Linked DNA regions of Schizosaccharomyces pombe. The protein of the gene in region 1 interacts with the protein of each later gene in a pairwise test. Each region holds a gene or a part of one and is shown on either strand. Other genes may lie near its edges. The genes, in order: atg11 and dbl5.

Evidence for each region.
Region 2: the proteins of atg11 (region 1) and dbl5 interact in a two-hybrid assay, tested with the Schizosaccharomyces pombe proteins (2 studies listed by BioGRID).

The regions. Positions count from the first base shown.
Region 1 is NC_003424.3:2,629,902-2,635,729, reverse strand, and holds atg11 (autophagy associated protein kinase regulator Atg11), read left to right. Parts: upstream 1-2,178; 5' UTR 2,179-2,360; coding exon 2,361-5,141; 3' UTR 5,142-5,282; downstream 5,283-5,828. Other genes in the region: protein ahk1, read right to left, coding at 1-1,519; SPOM_SPAC7D4.05 (hydrolase), read left to right, coding at 5,547-5,709, 5,745-5,821. UniProt on the Schizosaccharomyces pombe protein: Involved in cytoplasm to vacuole transport (Cvt), pexophagy, mitophagy and nucleophagy. Recruits mitochondria for their selective degradation via autophagy (mitophagy) during starvation.
Region 2 is NC_003421.2:222,769-227,949, forward strand, and holds dbl5 (ubiquitin-protein ligase E3 Dbl5), read right to left. Parts: upstream 3,051-5,181; 5' UTR 2,876-3,050; coding exon 2,555-2,875; exon of another isoform or gene 2,405-2,554; coding exon 1,319-2,404; 3' UTR 1,093-1,318; coding exon of another isoform or gene 1,085-1,092; 3' UTR 1,029-1,084; coding exon of another isoform or gene 919-1,028; 3' UTR 836-918; coding exon of another isoform or gene 683-835; 3' UTR 640-682; coding exon of another isoform or gene 617-639; 3' UTR 585-616; downstream 1-584. Other genes in the region: ubiquitin-like protein modifier Urm1, read left to right, coding at 617-639, 683-835, 919-1,028, 1,085-1,092; hexose transporter Ght8, read right to left, coding at 3,989-5,181.

The DNA.
Region 1 (5,828 bases):
TGTTTTTGGCAACATTAATTAAAACTTGCTCTAAAACGGCTAATAAACGCATCTGCTCTTGTCTGCAATCCCCAATCTTTTTAAAAGCATCTTTAATATGTCCGACAAACTGTTGAAGAGTCGATAAAGTCGTGGCAGTTACAGGCATCTTAGGATTGTATTCTTCCATTGATGGATTTACTTCTGGTAAAGTCTTACATGGAAACTGCTCATGTCCTGTAGGTAACATTAATGGCTTTTTGTCGCTAATATGTATAACCGAAATGGTTAATTCAAGAAGATAAGCATGTAAGCATATGTAACCTGGAGCGAAATATATGACATTATCAGGTAATTCGAAAGAGAATTGCAAAGCTAAAAAAGAATGATAGCATGATAAAAACTCGAAAAAGAATCCACCTGTAGAAGACTTAAAGCGACGCATCCATGCTCGTGTGAATTCAATAGGCTGCCTATTGTAACCTATAGTAAAAGGCGTTGAAGTTCGTTTTGGGTAATACGGATGCATAGTCGAGGAAAATTGGTCAGTAAAAAATGGCGCAAGATACTTATGTGAAATAATCATTATTTTTTCGTCGAAGGATGAGCCCAAAGCATCAATGTACTTTTTCTTTACATCTAATGCGCTCAAGAAATGGTCGGCAAAAAGTGGAAGTTGAAAAAAGGAGAGAACCAAGATACTCGCACAAAATGTCGTTAATGAATACGGCAAGGACTTTTGAGAAAGCAGATGAACTACAAATGTCAATGTATCGTAAAGTATTAATTGGTGTTCCAAGTACAATAAAGCAGAGTGTTCCACTTTGTTCCAACAATGATGCTTGGCGATAGCAAGTATGGCCTTTGTATATGTGATACGTTCTGAAGTAGAAATATTAGATTGTAAACGTCGAAGAATGGATACCCACCAGTTATACAAAGAATGCCTAAGTTTATCCAATTCCGGTTCGGAAACGTTTTTAGTGGTTAAAGAAGCCAAATGTGGTAATAAAAACCCTCTTATAAGAACTACCTTATCAGAATCCTGCTGATTAATAAAATTGATGAATTGCTCGGATAAAGGACACTTTATTGGAGAAACCAGTGGCTCCGAAAGACGTAAGGTAGATTGGACGGCCTTATTTATTAAGCTAGAAGGCGCTATCTCCTCCGCATTAAGGCGTAGGCTTTGAGAAGACAACTGAGAAAAAGGAGAGGTAGAACGAGAAGAGGAATCAGAAGATGATGATGAGGGTGATTCGTTGTAAGGCTCATTTAAGATTGTTGAGGAATGGCTTACTAAAGTGTTTTCATATTTACCATAATCATCTGTAATCGAAAATGGTTCAAAGTTCGAATCAAGGTCGTCAGCTACAAGCACATTGGTTGTATCGACGGGATCATGTTCCTGAATACATTTTACCACAACAGGATAGTTTTTTGTTTGGGAACCCGAATGCTCTTCCTCTTTAAAGGAGGCTGTATTGGGAGGACCCATAATAGCGGCAAGGATCTCATATCGTGATTGAAAGTCACCCATTCAGAATTTCAGAAATGAAGCTAAATGTAAAGAAAAGAATAAGTGTGAAATGCAAATAAAAAGAATATAATTAATCCCTAGATTAAAACCAAATTAATTAACATGAGCCGTGCAATCACCACTAATAAAGAAATGAAGATTTAAAGGACAAGCTATGCAAATGCCAGAAAAAAATGTACCAAATATGCTAAAAGATGCTCAAAAGTTTTTCCTACAGTAGAGAAATTTTGACTTTTTTAATTTTTTAAAAACTTTATCGATAAAAGACAGAGAAATCGGTAACCAAAAGATTCGCGGTTAAAAAAACAAGAAAAATACTTCCGAGTTTAGAATACTTGTATTCTAAAAGAATGAAAAGTAAACAAGTAGAAGATATCTTTAAATTAAATATATGAAATCCGCAATGTAAATTAGCATCCCCAACACTTTCGTTCACACCCAGTGTAGATGCTTGGTTAAGGCTGAGTTTCCGAACCCACCAGCTTGAGGGTATACGGCTACATATGACATATATTTCAGTAGACAAACATAATAAAACCAATAATTAAAATTGTTTTTTTAAGCTAAATGAAAAGACATTTGAAATTTTAAGCTGTATTGTCTTACAGCTTCAACTCAGTGTTCATACAATGCCAATCTCCTTTTGGTAGTTAGTACCCAACAATCGCCTAAACCAAATAGAACCCGCCAACTTACCAAACAAAACGGAATATAAGGACAGAGAATAACTATATGCAACGGATTATAAATAACTGATATTGAGTTTTCTTTTAGATCAAATATTTCAAGTTTAATGTTGGGGAATCGCGAATGATAAAGTTAAGCAATACAATAGGTCAGTATGCGTTTTCGATTGAATGATTCATTCTCCGGAAAGAGTTGGACCATAGATAATGTACAATGGACTCCCCAAAATCTTGTAGCTTGGATTATGGAGCTCAATATTGGACTTAGTGATGAAGCAAAACTATTATTGCCGAACGGAATGTCTTTGAATGAAACCGTACTAAATAGTGAAAGTGATGTGGTTATTTACGTACTAGATCAAAACTTGTTGACTTTCACCTACGATGGTGATAAAATTCCTTCTATTCCTTCTCTGAAAGGACAACCAATATCTAATGTACTTACTGGGATTATAGCTGATTCTTCTTCAGATCAATGGAAAGATAAAATCAGCAAGTGTCTTTCATTATTATCTGATATTTTAGAGTCTTCTTCAAAGATTCATAATCAATTAAGCGTATGCCATGATGAGTATTCTACTAGTATTGTTTCTCCAGAAGTTGCAATGAATTATTTACAAAGAAGACAATCTGGTATGAAAGATTTACTTTTCGTTTTCTACGAAAGACTAGATCGAGTATCTGTGTCTGATTTACTTCATGATTTCCTCGCTCTACCAACTGGTTCTTTACCCATTACTCCTCTTAAAATACTTTCAACAAATTGGACTAAATTGGACTCCTGGTTAAACTCCATTTCAGCTCGTTATGCTGAAGCTCAAAAACGAGTCCAACAGTGCATTGGCGCCGCAAATAGTATTATCGTTTCCCCATTCAAGGAAGTTCCTTCAATCAAGGAAGGAGATGATGCTTATTATCATCTACGTTCCGTCGCTCAGGATGCAGCCAATATATTGCAAGAGATCCTTAAAATAGAGTCAACTTCAACTACTTCTCAAATCAAACCAAAATGTAATTACGAAACCGAAATTACTGATTGCATGGAAAAACTTCAAAGTAATCTGTCGGAATTAAAAAGTTCTAGAAAGTCATCACTAATATCTTTGAAATCTTTTTGGCTTTCCTTTTATAAGGTTTCTCTTAGATATGATGCATTGTACGAATATCTTCGACAAATAGCAGAAGAGCTTGACAGAAGCAAATTCGTTCTTTCTCAGTCTCGAAACATTTTTTCGCTATATATCGACATTTTAATGGAGGCACTGAGGAGGACTGAATGGCAGGAATCATACAATGTAAGCCATGATAGTTCTCTTCCTTTAGACCAGGAGAAGGAGCTTTCTCTTAGGAAGTCTTGGCTCAGTCATTTCTCTAATTTGCTTTTTAATCATGGCCAGCTAAAGTACTTACCAGTTTTAACTCGTGACGAAATTTCTAATTATTTACTCAATATTCAAGCACATCCGAATTACCAAACTTTTCATCAAATGCTAAGCAATCGGCTCTCAGAATATTTGGGCTTTCCTGGAAGTCCTCGAGAAGCCGTTTCCAATACGGTTCAAGCGAACAATTCATTACATGAAAAATTGGCAATGTATCAAAATCGTTGCAATAATTTAGAGGCAATGTTAAGCCATCAAAACGGCTTTAATTATAACATTAACAATGATGGTTTATCTCCAAATGCTCCACATCCACCCATCAATGAGCAGTCTAATTCTTCTCAGCCATTTTACCGTGTTTCCCCTAGTATTGTGCCTCTAAACGTAATTCGTAAATTAACTAATCGCAAAACTTCTTTTACCGACAGCCACATATTACGACTTCAAGATGAGGTTAATCAATTACGCAACGAATTAGATTTGGTAAATAAAAGAAATGAGGACTTATTAATTGAGCTTCAAGGGAAGGAAGAAAAGATCCAATACCTCGAAACTGAAAATGAGGAAGTGCTACAAAAATACGAAAATTTACAGGAGGAACTTTCATCAACACGGAAACTGCTTACGAAAAATGAAGCGGCAGTTGCAGAACAGCAATCAAACGAGGAGATGCATTCTAATGAACCGAACATATTAAACCTTTACTCCGTATTTGAGGGCAAAGTTGATAGCTTGCAAGAACTTTATAATGCTTTCAAGCTTCAACTCACGAGTTTGAAGCAAAAGGGCGAATACGCTACTCTTGCAAAAGATGCCGAAGCAGTACAACATATTATTGAAGAGAGAGATTATGCTCTTGCAGAGAAAGCTGATTTACTCAAACTTTCCGAGAATCGAAAAGAACAATGTAAGATATTAACTCAGAAACTTTATACCATTGTATTCCGGTGTAATGAGTTACAGTCTGTTCTTCGGGAATGCGTTACTCAGCCTGGATTTGATTCAGATAACGAAAGAGATGGCCATGCATCGATTCCAGATCGCCAAATTGAATTTAATTCCAAAGATTTACAGTATCTTTATTGGATGGATGGGGAGGATGCTGATAGGAATTTCCAGGAATTTTTGAACAGAATGAGTTCTTTAGATTTTGACTCTTTCCATAACTTTGTTGTCAGTGTTTTGACTCAAGCACATAATCATGAACTTCGTTGGAAACGTGAATTTCAATCTAACAGGGACAAGGCGCTGAAAGCTATTTTGGACTCTCAAAGTAAAGTCTCATTAAGGAATTTCAAACAAGGATCCTTGGTCTTGTTTTTGCCTACTCGACGTACCGCCGGTAACAAAAAGGTGTGGGCGGCTTTTAATGTTAACGCTCCTCATTATTATTTGAACACTCAACCGCATTTGAAACTTGAAAGCCGCGACTGGATGTTAGGAAGGGTAACTTCCATTGAAGATCGTACTGCTGATGATTCGACGGATAAATGGCTTCGCCTGCCTTCAGGTACAATATGGCATTTAGTGGAAGCTATCGATGAAAGATTTTAAATCATTATGTGACCTAGCTTATACCTTCACTTGCTTTTTCTTTGCTTGTATTTGTGGGACTGATTCTATATGACAGACATTTGGTATTATCATACTTCTATTTTTTCAGGTTTTGATCTGTTATGGCATTATTTACTGAAATTTGTTTTTTGGTCTCGCCTAGTAAGGTATCCGACGTAAATTAACGACTACTATTGCTGTAGCGTGTCTCTCGTCTTGTAACATGATAAATTTTTAATGAACTTTTAATCTATTCGTATATTATTTAATATGTAGAACGCAATCGCTCGCAATAAAAGTGATTTGCAAATATTATTTATCACACCGAACAACGCACTGGTGGTAAGGAGTACCTTATGTAAATTGCTTTGTGTAGTGTGTCCCATCAAAGTACAACCTGGAATTATGATTCCCTCAAAAAATATCCAAAAGATCAAGTTGGTTACGTTCGATGCTTTTGGAACAATCCTTCATTTAAGTAAACCTGTTCCAATTGTGTACAGCGAAGTCGCTCAGAAGTATGGAGTTCATGCAACTATTGATGAAATTGAACACAATAGTAATAAAGGTTAGCTTTTGGTTTCTATTTATCTAATAATTTAGCATTCAAGGATTTCAGTGAAAAGCATAAGAATCATGGAAAAAAGTCAGGATTAAATCCTCATGACTGGTGGATCAAAGTATGTG
Region 2 (5,181 bases), on another chromosome or scaffold:
CGAAACAGCGAAATCAAGAATATTCACTCTGTAGTCCAATTCCAACCACTTTAAAGACTTTTTAACAAAATAATAAAATTGTTCAAACAAATTTCCAACTAATTCCTTCAAACAATGGCATAAAAAAAGAAGAACGAAAAAACTGAACGAGGCAGTGGATTGCTTCTGACACATTTATTTTGTCACTGCCTTTTTTATTCACCCCAACTTAGCTTTCCTTAAATGTAAGCTACGCAGTTTGGTATCTGATTTACGGATACGTAGAACTGCGGTGAGGTTTTTAGTAATTTCAATATAGCGGTATGCGCCCTGTTAACTAACAATATTATATTTATTGTTATAAGAAGTCTAATAGTATCGAATACCAATATATCTAATAACTAAACTGAGGAATCGAGTCAGCAGTTGTTATCAACGGGTATTCATAATACGGTGGTTAGCGTGTGACATATAATGATACATAACGTAGTGAGTCATAAAACACGCTAAACAGATACCAAACTGCGTAGCTGACATGACACTGAATTTCTATCACTCTTTAACAACTACAGTGGAATATACAGTTAGAACGTACATTTTGCGTTGCTTTCACGAATCCCCAAAGTTTTAAAAAACAATGGCTATAAAAGTAGAGTTACTGTAGGTGTCATATTTTATTACAATTGGTAACCTATTATTGTAGAGGTGGGCTTGACTTGCTCTTCAATAAGCAGAAAGCGTTGTCGTTGTCACTTTCAAACCTTGGCTCAACTAAGTTGGGATCATTGATTGATTATATGGCTCAAATAATAGAAAAGCCTTCTCAAAAAGATTTATTTATTTTAAATGGGACTGTGTAAGTGAACATGGAGTGGTATCATCTTTTTCAGGCTCAAACGATGTTTTAAATGATTTTGCAGAACTAACACTTCCCTGCAGACGTCCGGGGATCATCGTCTTAGTAAATGACCAGGATTGGGAACTTCTTGAAAAGGAAGAATATAACCTCGAAGAAGGTGACGAAGTTGTATTCGTCTCAACGTTACACGGTAAAACAATATTTAGCATTTTTTTTATAATATTTAAAACTAATTGTATCAACTAGGAGGTTAAATGGCAGGTATAATTATAAGACAAAACAAACATGCACAAATATCATTAGTATTGAATTTTTTTTTTTAGTCATAAATCCGACATGTATGCTAAATTTTAGTGTCTTATGCTCTAGAGACCCAAAATCCAAATCACAATTAAATCATTCATCATGAACAGAAACCATAGACCAGGTTAAGGTTACTTGATTTCTCGGTATAATTTTTTCTTCGTTAGAGTTGAGTAATTATGATTCTTCGTCAGAGTCTAGTTGTATTGTACGAGTTCGCCGAGCTTGCCGACGTGGATAGCTTGCAGTGAATACCTCGGAATAGGGTTCAAGATCAAATCCTCTATTCTGGCTGGATGATTGTGAACTACGGAGGCCTGTTCCATTAGTTACAATATTTCCTTCATCCTCATCTGATGAGAATGGATGTTGCCTGGAATGAATATTGTTATGAGAAGGAGAATTATTTGAGGAAGAATTGAGAGAATCCAAACTTTCATTCTGAATGTCAGCAAGCTCTCTTCGTAACTCATCGTATCTTTGCCCATCGTTATAACAGGTCTCAGATCGAGATACCATATTCGTCCCTCCAGAGTCGCGCTCTTCATCGAAGCCGTTCATAATATCAATCTCTTCACTATCTGTGCTATCCAAAGCAGTAATACCATTTCCATTACTTCCATTGACAGGAGCTACGAAGTCATCGTCACTTTCGACAGGAGATAATTGGCTTGTAGCACGATTATCTATAAATCCATCATCAACATCGTACTCACCTGGACCAGAAAAATCAGATTCTAAATCAGACCCCACAAATTCTTCTCCTTCGTCAAATCTCAGCCAATCTTGTGGTACTGCAGTTATTGGCGCATGTCCCATATTATTAAATGCGCGGTTAGTCGAGATATTCCCACCACGGGTGTTATCGCCATTTAGGCTGGAATCACTCTCAGCATTTTCTCCATCCCAAAACCATTCACGACCAGAATCTTGGTCATCCGATATTTGAAAACCGCAATGATCGCAATGGTACGGATTTTCCAATTCCCATTGGCAACGAGCGCATCGTAAAACTCCATCTTCAGAATCAACAAGGATACTTCTTGGGTAATGAGAATCTTCTTGTTTAAACATCCCATCAAACAATACCTCCTTTTGCTTCTTTGCTGGATTTTCATTGATTCCCACAAGTGGGAAGCCACTGTTTGAGGCAGCAACCACATTCATTATTTCATATACAAGATATGCTGGTGAAGGTTGTGTATACAGTTTTTGGCGACAAGTTGGGCAAGATTTTGACTCTTTTAACCAATTTAGAAGACACTATTTATTAGTTTCAATCCTTTATAGAAAAAAAGTAAATCTAGAAACTTTTAAAGATATAATCTTGCTCTTTCAATATTTCACTCACAATGAGGGAATTCAATGATAATGAAAAGTTATTCCAGTGTTAAGCATCAAATTTTCACTTACCTCGTAACAATATGTATGACCGCAATGAGTGGTAAAAGGTCTTTGTAAAGCTTCTGTGCAAATGGGACATTCCAGAGTTTTTTTTATTTTCTGGAACGTTTCGAGCAAAGTTTTTGTATCGGGGATTTGTTTTTTATTTTCTGAATTACTGCTAATGCGAGACTTTTTGTACATTTGAGTTGCATCACTAGACGCAAAAGTTGTGCTGTTGGATTGTGGAATTAATAGAACCTCCATTTTCTCATCGTCCAAGTTATTATTATAATTTTCTTCATCGTCTTCATCCAAAACTACTTGGCGATGAGAACTGCGTTTAACCATTGCGCCCAGACAGATAAATTACTATTGAACTTGGTATGTGAGCTCTAACGTTTCTAATCCGGAGAGAAAGCTTTATCAAAATAATAAGTTTAAATAAAATCCTTTAAAAAAACGAATTATATGCAAATTCTTCAAAGCAAATCAACCATTGATTTGTACTTTATATATTTCTTGTAGATGGCAAATACTCTGCGTATTGCAATGCAGCGGTTTACAACTGCATTATCAAATTCTTCTGGTATTATCATAAATATCATTTAGTGACTTGTAGTCAGTGTAATCTCGGGCATATGTAAATTTATTTAACGTTACAAAATGCGATTGCGTTCAACAAGCATGGCTAATAGCGTTTTCTTGTAGCTTGGATTTTTATGAGGATTATTCACAGATACGCACCGATGGCATTTCACGTATAGTTTTAAGTATAATATTTTCAACCATAGCTTTCAATGTTTCACTCTAAGTAGAATTGAACGTCTCCCGACTTAACTCGTAAATATCGTTGATTACTTACCGGAAACCTTTTTTTGCATCGTTCTAACCAGGTAAATAAATTGAACGAATGCTATTCAAAAACATTCAAGGATTAAATAACATATCAACAATTAGATACTACGCTTATTTACTGTTCAGCATACCTTTCTACTCAATGTCTACAATTCGCAATACACAAAACGATATGTAATAGCACATTAGAAATAAGGAACTGTTTAATTTTTGTTAATCCTTAACGAAAAAACTATCAGCATTTAACTAAATTATCTGTTTACATTATTATTAAAATTATAATGCAATCCCTGCCAGTTCCTCATCAACGCCTTTCCATAGTAATAAGGACCGGGCCACTCATAAAAACATTACCAGTTAAAAAGCATGCACACCAACTTAATATTAATATCTCTAACAGAAAGGACGGAACAGTTTGAATAACAACGACAAAGGAAATGCAAATAAAAAATAACTCTCAAAGTTGGCACAGCCAAAATCCAATTATACAATTCGATTTTAATGAAGGATGAATCAGCAAAAAACACATACTCATTAAAAAGAAATAACATTTAAAAACTACCGATTCGTGTAAACCGAAAGCATTGCCATTTTCGGTCAACAAACTTATGCGTAGCGATCTTGTTCATCAACATAGTTAGACTCAGGCTTAGCACGGCCTTCAGAAGAAGAGGTAGAAGATGTAATGTCGTTACTCGAAGTATCCTCCATACCCTCATTGTCAACGTTTTCAAGATGAGCGGCACTTTCACCTTGAACACCACGAGATTTTTCAAGAACCTCTTGTTGTTGCTTTGCAGCTTGTCCGAGATTCTCGGGCCTAGGCATCCAGGGCTTAGCGCCGGAGAGATACAGTTCGTTAATCTCTTCCAAGGTAAGACCTTTGGTTTCATGGGCAAACAAGAAAATAATACAAGCAGCACACAAATTACAGGCAGCGAAAATATAACCATACTTGAATCCAATGGAGTCACTAATGAAGGGAGTAAAGAAAGTAATAAGGAAACCCCACAACCAGTTACCAGTGGTAGCGACGGCAGCACACTTGGAACGATAACGAATGGGATACGATTCACCAACGATAACGTATGCGGCAGGACCCCAAGTTTGAGCAAAACTGAAAATGAAAAGACATGAGAACACAATCATAACGGCACCGGCACGATGGTTTGAGGTACCATTCTTACGAGTAAGAGCACGATTACCAACAGCTGCGTAAATGAAGAAAGTAATGGATTGCCAAACACCACCAATAATCAATGGCATACGACGACCAAAGAACTCTAGGACGAAAAGACCACCAAACGTACATCCAAAGTTAACGGCATCAAGAATCAAAGCAGAAAGATAAGGAGAGTTCATACCAGTACCCTCAAACACCTCGAAACCATAGTAGAAGTAGTAGTTATCACCGGTAAGTTGTTGAAGAGACATGACACCAAGACCAAGGAAGGTACGATAACGAATATCCGCACCTAGAATGTCACCCCAAGTAGCGGGACCACCGGCCATTTCAGCTTCACAGTCAGTTTTAATGACATGGTATTCCGTTTGAATAATTTCGTGTTCACGAGGAAGAACGTTGTTTTTGCACATAATGTCAAGAGCCTCTTCATCTTTACCAATAGCAATCAAATAACGAGGGGATTCAGGAAGGAAAGAAATACCGATGAACATGATAATACCCCAAAGCAAGTTAATACCCATGGATACACGCCATTGAGCAGTCTTGTGCAACTTGTGAGTACCCATGTTGATACAAGCGGCAATGAAAATACCACCAGTGACAGCCAATTGAT